Linked DNA regions of Cricetulus griseus. The protein of the gene in region 2 interacts with the protein of the main gene of each other region in a pairwise test. Links are inferred from orthologs where the notes say so. Each region holds a gene or a part of one and is shown on either strand. Other genes may lie near its edges.

Region 1 (5,400 bases), on a different chromosome or scaffold from region 2:
AACTTTCCGAGGCTTTTTCTGGGACACAGGGCCCTGTGGTGTGATGGAAAAGAACGAGACTGGCTTTACCTGTGATGAATACTGGACATGTTTTTTATGCCCCCTCCCAGCCCTTTGCTATCCCACATGCCCTGTCCAACTGTCACACAAGCGTAGAGTTCTTAAGTCAGAAAGTATTTAAAGAACCCCTTAGTGCCATCTCTCTCTCTCTCTCTCTCTCTCTCTCTCTCTCTCTCTCTCTCTTTCTTGCTCCTCTCAATAGGCAAAGTGAGGGTATCATCGATTACTTGTCGATGACCAATGGCTGGCAGAGCTGGCTGATTGAACCCAGGGCTCTGACTTCCTAGTGTCCTTCCCACTGTTAGAACTGTCCTAGCTCAGAGGTCCCATTGTCCTGTTGAGAAGTGCCACACACTACTAAACACTTAATTGTTTCCTGTGTTAATCTCATCCCCGGGCATTGTGAGATTCTTGAGAGCAGAAGCCTGTTTCATGTGAAGCCTATAAATATTCACTAGGCTGATGAAGAAAGCACTCATGGCTGGGAGAACCTCACCTGGGCTTCTCCAAGATGGGACTCAGAATCTCCGAACTACAGGGTCTTTAGAGTCTGGGAAGTGGAGAGGAGACCAGCAAAGACTATGGGAGTGCACTATCCTTTTGCAATATGGGGTAGCCTGCCTGCTGGCTCTTCCTGACGGTGATGGAGCCACTTCAGCAGGATGAGAGTAATGACGTCCAGGTGGCTACCCTTCCACAGCAGAAAGGGACAGACAACCGAGGGAGCGAGGCAGTTGCTATTGTTTTCTGCACAGAATGTGGAAAGTGTGGGGAGGGAGGGAGGCTGTGCAAAATGAGGAAGCAAGTTAGAAGAGATTTGCTGACCCATTGGCGCATGTATGTGTGTGTGGAGGGGACCTTCTAAAGGGCTTACGCAGAAATCATTCCTTCTAGTCTCCGTATCGGAAACCTCCAAACTTCTAATCAAATTCACTTCCAAAGCACAACTGGGCATGCATTTAGCCTTAAGGGGGTTCATGGGACAAAGGTTCATGCTTTTTCTTTCTCTATGGAAAAGGCTTGGATTTAGGCTGCTTTCTTCTCTCTCTCTCTCTCTCTCTCTCTCTCTCTCTCTCTCTCTCTCTTAACCCCCCTTCCCCTGTTGCTCAAATAAATAATGTTCTTTGCTCAAGCCTCCTTTCCCCTCCTCCTTCTGCAATCTCAGCGCCTAGCCCAAATCTGTTTTCTTCATTGTAACCTCAGCTTCACCGCAATTAATTTTTTTCCCCTCTGGTCACAAGATAATTCCCGACGCCAGTGAGTCTGGAGGTCAGACGAGCAGCAAATTGGGGAACAAGGCGGCACTAATTCCTTACAAGTTTCCCTTGAAAATTCGAGAGAGAGAGAGAGAGAGAGAGAGAGAGAGAGAGAGAGAGAGAGAGACCTTCAGGGATTTATGATCACGGAGCTGTGGGTTCGAACCAGTGTTGGGCAGAGGGCAAGGGAGCTCAAGGATCTTGGGCGCCGCCAGAAAAGGCAAATTCTTAAAGTTAATGGTTTTGGTTGATTTTTCAAATCTCTGCTGGCTCAAGAGCCCCGCCTCTCCTCAGTCTCAGCGCTTCCTCATTCTTCGCATCCGCGCCTCAGCGGTCCTCGGCGTCAGACCAGCCCAAGGAAGCCTGTTAGCAATTTAAGCCCACTGTGGACGCCCAGGGTCGGGGAGGCGGTGCCCAGGGAGCGGGGTGGAGCCTGGCGGGCTATTTTGAATAAGGGGGCGTGGTCTCGGGGCGACTCTTTAAGAGGCGGCTGCAGCAGGCGTGCGCCGACTGTTTGCTGCTCTAGCTGTCGCCTCCTCTCCTCCAGCTTCACTCACTCTTCAACATGAAGGCGCTGAGCCCGGTGCGCGGCTGCTACGAAGCGGTGTGCTGCCTCTCGGAACGCAGCCTGGCCATCGCGCGGGGCCGCGGCAAGAGCCCGGCGGCAGAGGAGCCGCTCAGCCTGCTGGACGACATGAACCACTGCTACTCGCGCCTGCGGGAACTGGTGCCGGGAGTCCCGCGAGGCACTCAGCTTAGCCAGGTGGAAATCCTGCAGCGTGTCATAGACTACATCCTCGACCTGCAGGTGGTCCTGGCAGAGCCGGCGCCTGGACCCCCGGACAGTCCACATCTCCCGATCCAGGTGCGCAGGGGCGGCAGGCGGGCCTGAGTTGAGCTGCTCGTGCGGGCTGGGATGCTGCGGGTCTCTCCCACCGACTCCCCGAATGCCTTGGCTAACTCGCCCCCTATCCTTTCACAGACAGCTGAGCTCACTCCGGAACTTGTGATCTCCAACGACAAGAGGAGCTTTTGCCACTGACCCGGCGGTCCTGGCACCTCCCGGTAAGTTTGCTTCTGGCATGGGCAAGGAGGCTTGCTTGGGAAATCCTGTGGTTGACAGGACTTTGCAAGGCTTAGGGTTTCCTTGGTTTAGGGAAACCCAAGCGAGGAAAGAGGCAAGAGGCTTGTCGGTGGTCACTTAAGAGTAAACGACAGTATCAGTGTCAATATCACGTGCATGTTAAAGCGTGCTGCCTCTGCTCACCCGGGGTCCTGGGCAAGCGGGCGTGCGGATCGCACCAAATACTCTTAGTAAAGGGAGCCCCCTTTCCACTAGTGTCGTTTCCAAGCGGGAGGGGGAGTGGTGGCTCCGCCTGTGGTCCTTTGGCGCCAACTGGGTGGAGGCTTGTGTGGGGCGCGGAGTTATCAGCTGGAGGTAGAGACCAAGTTTCCTCCCTGGCGCCGGCCAGTCTGCGGCGGCCTCCGCCTGGGCGCGCTCGGCGGAAACTGGCGGCTCCTTCACTCTTCTCTTCTCCCCCGCCCAGAACGCAGGTGCTGGCGCCCGTTCCGCTTGGGACCCTGGGACTCTGGGACCCTCTCTCCGGCCGGAAGCCCGAGGGCATGGATGAGCCTCGATCTCGCCCGGCCCTCTTCACTTCCCCTAAACCCCTGCCTCGAGGCTGGACTGGGAGCCCGAGAGCGAAGGACTGAACTTGGGTGGCCTGAAGAGCTAGCGCTGGTCAGCAGCTGGGCAACGTCACCCGGTCCCCACCCTGACTCCCAAGTCTTAAAAGACTGGCTTTTCCGAGAATGGGGGTGTCGAGAATGGGGGCGAGTGTGGCTGCCCTGCACACTGCCAAGGCAGCGTAAGAGCTGGTTTTCTGATCTCCTTGGAGAACGGCTCTGCTGCCCTGATTATGAACTCTATAATAGAGTATATAGCTTTTGTACCTTTTTACAGGAAGGTGACTTTCTGTAATCATGTGATGTATATTAAACTTTTTATAAAAGTTAACATTTTGCATAATAAACATTTTTGAACACTTTGTGTATTATATGCGGCGTCTCCCCATTTCTTATGTGGCTGTCTTTAGGAAATATCCTGGGATCTTGGGAGGAACAAATTTGGGTACCCTCTTAGGGTTAAGTTCCCAGCTGAAGCTGAGGGATAGGGTGGATATTTGAAAGGGCTAAGAATGGGAATCCCCAAATCCATTGGGGGTTGACAGCAAGTATCTGCAATCCTACCCTGTCAATTACAGAAACCCGATGCAAACTACCCAGCAGTTTAAGACTGAATTTTTCTTTCAGTCCCTTGAAACAATTACCTTCCTGGCTCTTTGCAGGGGATGTGGTAAGAGTGGCCCCATTTCAGAGATGAATAAACTGACTGCCAGGCCTGGTCTCAGTTCCCTCATGCTTTCTGGTCTAGCTTCCTTCTAGACTTCCAAAACCAAAAAACCCTCAATTGCTGCGCATAGCGATAACACACCTTTAATTCCAGCACTTGGGAGGCAGAGATAGGCATTTCTCTGAATTTGAGGCAAGCCTACGTAGGTAGTGAGTTCCAGGACAACCAGAGCTACATAGTAAGAGCCTGTATTGGAAAAACCAAACCAAAACCAGGGTCTCTCAAATCTTCAGCCTCTGTCGGAGATGCAGGCTAGCTGGGAAGCAATGCTGCACGTTCCCTTCGAGCTCTAAACTTTTAACTTTGACCTGTGAGTTTGAGAAAACTGACTAGGATTTTGTTGGGCATGACTAGGATCTTACTGGCCAGCAAAGAAAAAGACATCAGCCCATGTCCCATCTATTCACCCCCAACACGGTGCCTCCCCAGGTGGGATGCACCAGGCTCCTGGCCTCACTGAATTCCTGTTTATATGATCTCTGTGTGTTGGGTCTTGGCATAGTTACTAATATTTCATAACAAAAGGGTCATGTCATTACCCTTTGTGCATTAACCCTAGTAAGCCTTTTGGGGTGAACCAGGGTCAAAGGGGGGGGGTGCAACCTCTGTCTTTGCCAATCATCCTACAGTCTGATGAATAGTTTTTAATCCTGATCTGGGTCCTGATTTCCTCTGATGAGTTGAAGGACGATATGAGCATCCTTCCGAAGGCACACATGAATTTTTTAAGAGTAATAGCAGACCTCCAACCTTCTGGAGGTCGGGAGTTCCCATGTGAGAAACCCTTGCCCCAAATAACCTTAAGACTGGTTATCTCCACCTTGGATGGTGTGTTAGGCTGTGCTGTGTTCTCTGGATACAGCCCATCGAGGGTGAAAATCCCGGACTTGCTGAGTACTGCAGGCTACAGACTGTGCCTCCAGTGAGCCTCAGTTCTGAGGGACCTTTTTTACTCTACCACAGTAGTCTGCCTTCTGTTCACTTAGAAGTTAACACCAGGGAAAGCTGCAGGCTCATGTGCCATGTGACCTGGAGCAAGCCACTTCTCTCTGAGCCCAGCTGCCGGCTAGGACCCAAGATAATGATGGGAAAGTTCTTTGAAATGCATCACACACCTACGAGGCATTATTAAGCTAATTCCAAGGAAATTGCTTGTCAAGACTCCCAGGGCTGAGCAGTTCAGGTGGCCAGGACAAAAGCTTAGACCATCCCGCCAATCCATTAGTCATTAGAGAGTGAAAGCAATTTAGCCCTAGGTCAGAAACCTCTGAGATAGTTCTTCAGTTGTAATCATTAAGGGGAGTGCCTACCAGGTGCGCCGAGTCCATTTCATCTTAATCTTTTTTCTAATCAGCAAGGTGGGTATCTTGAATAGGTTTATCAAGGTCACAGCATGGAAGTGGGAGACGGTATTTAAGAAGGCCAGCTTCCTCTAGCTCCGAAGCCCGTGTTTTCATGTACTTCAGACTTCTCTTTTCCCTGCCACTCTGTGAGTGGGACGCAAATTAGGAACCCAGTAAGAGCTTGTTGGAAAAACAACAAACAAACGTGAAGGTTACCTTATTTCTGTATGAGATGGGATGATAGTATCTCCCTTGGAATCCTATAGTTCGGATAAAAGACCACACATACAGCATCTCCCTGGCTCCTTGGGCAATACAATTGGGGGTC
Region 2 (5,754 bases):
GTGCTCAATACTTTGGGAAAGTTTCTGAAAAGCAAGGGAGCTTTAAAGAAGAAGAAAAAAAATGTATATGTAATTCCATATAAAAATAAACTACTGACTTATTAATGTCATCAAATACCCTATCAATGCCAGAATTTCCCAGATTGGCTCATACAAAATTTCTTCTTTTAATAGTTTGTTTTGTGATCAAAATCCAAGCATAAATTGTGGTTAGTTGGTTGTTGGTGTTTTTTGTTTGTTTGTTTGTTTGTTTGGTTGGTTGGTTGGTTTTTGCTGCATTGTCTTCTCCTGCTGTCTCGCTTAGCATTATTGTAGAAATGGGTAAGTCTGTTTTGAGAGACTGAATTTTCCTCACCGTAAGACCATTGAGGTATTTAATAGCTCTCTAATGTCGAAAGCAAAATACAAGAATAAGTCACAGGACTTTTTAATAAAGAAAGCAACATAATCAGTGTGGTACAGCTGCAGCAATTAGTAACTCACACAATTTAAACAAATAAAACAAAAGGAAGCAGGAAGGGGATAAATTGGTTTATTTTTTGAACCTGTATTTAAAACCGAGGCTTAAGAGACCTAGACCATTTCGATACCTGTAACTTTTCATAGAGAAAGTAAATGTTAGTAGCTTCAGAGCGATTGGTCTGTCTACATACACTTCGCTTTGAATCCACAGTTCAGCCTATCTTGACCATCAGTGGTAAGTCACTTAGGGTATGCCTCACTTTGAAGATGGGGATAGGAGTGGAATGGATTTCCTGTGTCAAATCTCAGCATGTCCATTCTCCTCAGAGAAAAGTGTTAACCACAGGGAATCACCTGAGTGAGCCACAGGAATTGGGAATTTCTGATCCTTTACGATACTGAAATGGCCTTGCTATCTCATAGACACCGGTGAAAATCTCAGCTGGTAAAATCTGTTTTTCGAGACAGGGTTTCTCTGTGGCTTTGGAGGCTGTTGTCCTGGAACTAGCTCTTGTAGACCAGGCTGGTCTCGAACTCATAGAGATCTTCTGCCTCTGCCTCCCGAGTGCTGGGATTAAAGGGATGTGCCACCAACACCCAGTTTGAGATAACTAACTTTACATAGAGGGGCTGAGCATCCTGGGGAGGCCATATATATATATACATATATATATATATATATATATATATATATATATATATATGATGCCGAGTAAGTGACAGGTCATGTGACCCCCCTTGCCTCTCATGTTCTGAGATTCCATCATGGGGATCCTCTTGTGGTGCCAGTCAGGAAGTATCAATGAGAAGAAAGCCATCCCACAGCTCTCCCTGCCTTCTCTAACATATGTTACCCCGAGCTCCCCTGGAGAATGCCTACACCCAAAACCATTGTGATGGTCCTTCAGTCGATTGGCTGAACTTGGGAACCCCTAGGAGACACACCTCTTTGAGGGCAGTTCCAGAGAGGTTTAACCGAGGGGCAAAGACTGACCCCCAAATGTGGACAGCACCTCTCAAGAGCTGGCCTCTCAGACTGGATGAAAAGGGGAAATTAAACTGTTTCCTGACTGAGAAGGCAATGTGACCAACCAACTTGACATTCTCACAGTGGCCATGCCATCTCAGTGATGACCAGCTGTATTCCTTCATAAACCCTGCAGCCAAACGAATCCTTCCATTAAGTTGTTGGTCAGGTTACAGCACTGAGAAGTCCTTGCCTCTGCCACTGCATGTGGGCCCCCCACCTACTCAAGAGCAGATGCTGCCCTTCCTAGACGTGGGGATGCGGGTACCTTCCACCACCATGTTGGACATTGCCTCCTGTCCCTACTAAGGGCCAGCTCTGTGCAGAAGACCTTGGCTTTGAGCATGAAGGACACATTAAGCCCTTCATTTGCTTTCTGCCTGCATGGAGCCACTGAATGTCAACAGCTAAACAGCTCTCAACCTTCTCTCAGTCAGCTACCTGGTGGAACAGAGTCATTAAAGATTCTTTACGTCATTGGTTGGGTTCATTCCACCACGGAGAGGTATTTGCAAGGGAAGGCCGGGGAAACTACCATGCCAGTGCATGCCCTACGCACACATCGTTCCTCCCCCAAATCTCCAAATGGCCCACCCATGCTTGCCCAGACGGCGACCAGGCGCAGACCCAGCAACCCAGAGGAGGGTCCTGGTGAGAATAGACCCATGTCATTCTGCCCTTAGGTGACAGCGGCCACAACCCTCTGCACTGCACTGCCACTGGCCCCTGGAGCGGAGGCCAGGGCGCAGGGAGGCTTGACTCTGTGCGCCACACACCGGGAAGTAAAGAAGAACGTTAAGTCAAACAAAGGGTCCGCAGCAGCTGCAGCAGGGGGGAACACGCGACGACAGGCGATCGAGGGGCGCTCGCCACCGCGCCCTGCTCCCTTGGCCCGCGCGCCCAGCCCGCCGCCCCTGCGCGTGTGTCCTTATATGGTCAAATGACTCGGCGGGGGTTCTCGAGGGCGGGAGCCGAGCCGGCTGCACTCCGCCTGCTGAGCCGCCGCCGCCGCCACCACCACCGCGCAACAGTCCTCTGAGTGCCCTAGACCCCGGCCCCGTCTTGCGCGAGTACTCCTGCCGCCGCCCAGTCCACAGCCGGACCTGGTACACAAGAATAGCCAGCAGACAGCTGCCCTAGCACGCGTGGAGAGACACCGGTGGCCAGCGTACCCTGACCGTGGGGCGGAGACCCGGCAGACCCGAGCAGGGCTGTGCAGACCGCACCCCTGTAGGGACCCAAAACGGGAGGAACAGATCCTGGAGGTAGGAGAGCCCTGTTTTGCAGAGGACACCAGGGATGGGGACCTAAAACGGAGAGCGTAGATCCGGGGAGAGGAGAGCCTAGCTGGGCAGGGGATACTCAGAAAGGGGACTCGAAATGAAGGGGAAGGAGGGGATACGGAGAGTCATGGAGACGGTGGACCGGAAACATGAGAGAAGAAGGGGAGTCTTGAAGGGGAGACCTCAGAACCGGGGAGTTGATCTACAGGAAGAGCGGATGCGGGGCAGAGAGGACTAGAATCATGAGTGCTAGGGACCCGAGCACAGGAGAGTCTGACTTGGGAATGGTGGGGAAGGGGACCATTGGTGTCCAGAGAGAGGGCTACAGCCCTAGAGGAGTGAGTCGCCGCCAGGTGGTGAGAGACGATGAGTCTCCCCCAGAGGCAAAGTGGAACTGGTCTCTGAAGTCTATGGAAGGGAGGTGACACGCTGGTCAGCACGTGGATGGCCAGGCATTTCCCTTGGGAAGAAATGGGAGTTTGCCTGTGACCACACATCTTGACTCATCCACAAAATTAAAACCTGAGCCATAGGGTTAAAGAAAAATAATAATAATAACGCTTTGAAATGAACAGAATTCTAACTGATAGATTGCAGTCTTGTGATGTCTTGTGGAAAGAAACGCTTCAATGCTGTTTCTGGTTTTAAATGAAGCATTGGTCGTATTTGCTTGATAGTCTCCAGTTGTGTCTCTGGAACTCACCGAAGCAGGCATTTTATGAAATATGCAGCTGTCTTTGGCAAAGCCAACTTGTGGCGTGCACTTTCTTGCACATATTTTTAGGAAGTAATGAACTACAATTTGGGCTTACAGTCATGATGAGATTGTCTTCAAAACACTACTCTAAATGTGTGTCATGTCGTGGTGTTGCTCTGCTTATATGTATATTTTGCAGTAATGTATGTGAGGAAGGTTGCTTGTGGTAGTGTTACTGTGGTTATCGTTTGAGATAAATCCTTACTCTGTAGCTGGGAAAGCCTGGAGTTTACCATGCCATCTCAGGTGAACTCACACTGGTGCCTATCCTCCTGCCTCAGCCTCCAAAGTGTTGCAATTACAGGAATGACCACGAATTCCTCAAGCCCCCCTCTCCCTCCCACAAAAAAACCCAATTTGCCCTAAGGCTTAGAGTTCCCAACCCATTACCTAAAGGTCAATAAAACCAAATTTAAAACAGTCATTTTTCTCACTCTTTTTTTCAGATTCATCTCTCTCCTAGTTTTTAACAGAATAGTGTGTTGCATTGGTGGCCCCCATCCTGGCTTCTCTTTGTTCTACCTCCTTGCTGTCCGGCCTAACAGATACAACATGGATAGGTGTAGAAAGCTTGGTTGGCAGATGCACCTGGAACAGAACCAAGATGCCAGAATTAACACTGGGACCTCTTAGCCCACATGGCCTTGCCTAATTCACAAAATCTATTGGTTGCTCAGTTTCCTCCGAGAGAATCAGATAACAAAGACGCTTTCCCAGCATACATATATACACATATGTGTGTATATAGATGCATATATATCCTGCATATTATATGCAGCATATGTAGATTTTATAGCCTCTTGTTCACAGATAAGAAAACTGAAACAGAATGGTCGAAGTAACTCTGATGTCCAAAGTTTCCCAGTATGTAGATTGTAGCCCTGAGAGCTGTATCTGGAGATTTCTACTCTGTACTGGGCCTCACTGTATGAATATTTTGTTGAGGCCCTATGCGGCATGTTTTTACCTAAGACTGTTAAATGCCTTCAATACTAAGCACTATCTCAACTTCAGAGAGAAATGCGTAGCAGGATATAGAAGAAAAAAATTCAGAAAGCCAAGAGGAGTGGATTCTCCCCCTGTTCTGCACAGAGGGCTGGCTACCCAGCACCTAACACACCACGTCCAAGTCACTGTTCTATTGTTGTGAGAAGACACCACGACCAAGGCAACTCTTATAAAAGAGAGCATTTAGTAGAGGGCTGGTTACAGTTTCAGAGGCTTAGTCCATTACTGTCACTGTCACAGCAGAGAGCATGGTGGCACTCAGGCAGACTTATGCTGGAGACGTAGCTGAAAGTTCTATTTTATGATCCACAAGTAGCAGGAAGAAAAATGGGGCTGAGTCTGGCATGGGCTTTTGAAACCTCAAAGCCTACCCTTAGCAACACACTTCCTCCATCAAGACCACACCTCCTAATCCTTCTAATCCTTCGGAGAATTCCACTTCCTGGTGGCTAAGCATTCGAACATATGAGCCCACAAGGATCACTCTAATATAAACTACCACACACCAGCTTAGCCATTTGTAAGCAGCTGTGGTTCAGATATGATTTTTCTTCAAGACTCTTGTGTTGGAAGCTTGGTCATCCTTGGGTAAATGTTGGGAGGTAGGGAGTGAAGTCTAGAGGTTAGAGAGCTGGTCCATCAGCTAGGAGTACTTACAGAGGGCTTGAGTTGGACACACCATTCATGAACCCCGGTAACTTCTACTACAAAAGAGCCTATATCTTCTTCTGGCTTTCATGAGCACCTGCACACACTCATGCAGACATGTACACACTATGTAAAAAAATAAAAATGAAAGAACTTAGGAGAGGGGCCCTAGTCAGCAGAAGGCCCACCCTCGGGAGGGACAGTGGTACCCATCTCTCTCATTCTCTGCTTCCTTTGACAGTGTGATCTGGCTATGTCCTTAGTGAGGTCCTCACCAGAGCAAAGATGAGACCTTTGAATATCCAGAATTACCAGTTACAGAACAGCAAAAAGCGGGAGAGTTTAAGAAGTTGGAAAGTGTCCTTGGAGCCAGCAAATATAGCTTGTCATACAACTAGACTGTCAGTCAAAGAAGATATAGACCTGTGCTTGCTGCAACCTTTGGAGCCAGCTGAGTTGGGCAATCAGTGAATGAGTGGAAGGAAGTACGTCATCAGCCTCTCTTGATGGAGCCCTGATATGGAACACTGAGGCAGAACCACAAAAGAGAAGGGCAACCATGAAAAGAA

What was found. The genes of interacting proteins can lie anywhere in the genome.
Region 1: the proteins of Fhl2 (region 2) and Id3 interact in binary tests that used the Homo sapiens proteins (3 or more experiments, as listed by UniProt). The link is inferred for Cricetulus griseus from reciprocal best matches to the Homo sapiens genes FHL2 and ID3.

What each region holds. Positions count from the first base shown.
Region 1 is NC_048595.1:17,162,483-17,167,882, reverse strand, and holds Id3 (DNA-binding protein inhibitor ID-3), read left to right. Parts: upstream 1-1,812; 5' UTR 1,813-1,881; coding exon 1,882-2,181; intron 2,182-2,298; coding exon 2,299-2,358; 3' UTR 2,359-2,381; intron 2,382-2,863; 3' UTR 2,864-3,373; downstream 3,374-5,400. UniProt on the Homo sapiens protein: Transcriptional regulator (lacking a basic DNA binding domain) which negatively regulates the basic helix-loop-helix (bHLH) transcription factors by forming heterodimers and inhibiting their DNA binding and transcriptional activity.
Region 2 is NW_023276807.1:5,337,668-5,343,421, forward strand, and holds the start of Fhl2 (four and a half LIM domains protein 2), read left to right. Parts: upstream 1-2,443; 5' UTR 2,444-2,754; intron 2,755-5,754. UniProt on the Homo sapiens protein: May function as a molecular transmitter linking various signaling pathways to transcriptional regulation. Negatively regulates the transcriptional repressor E4F1 and may function in cell growth.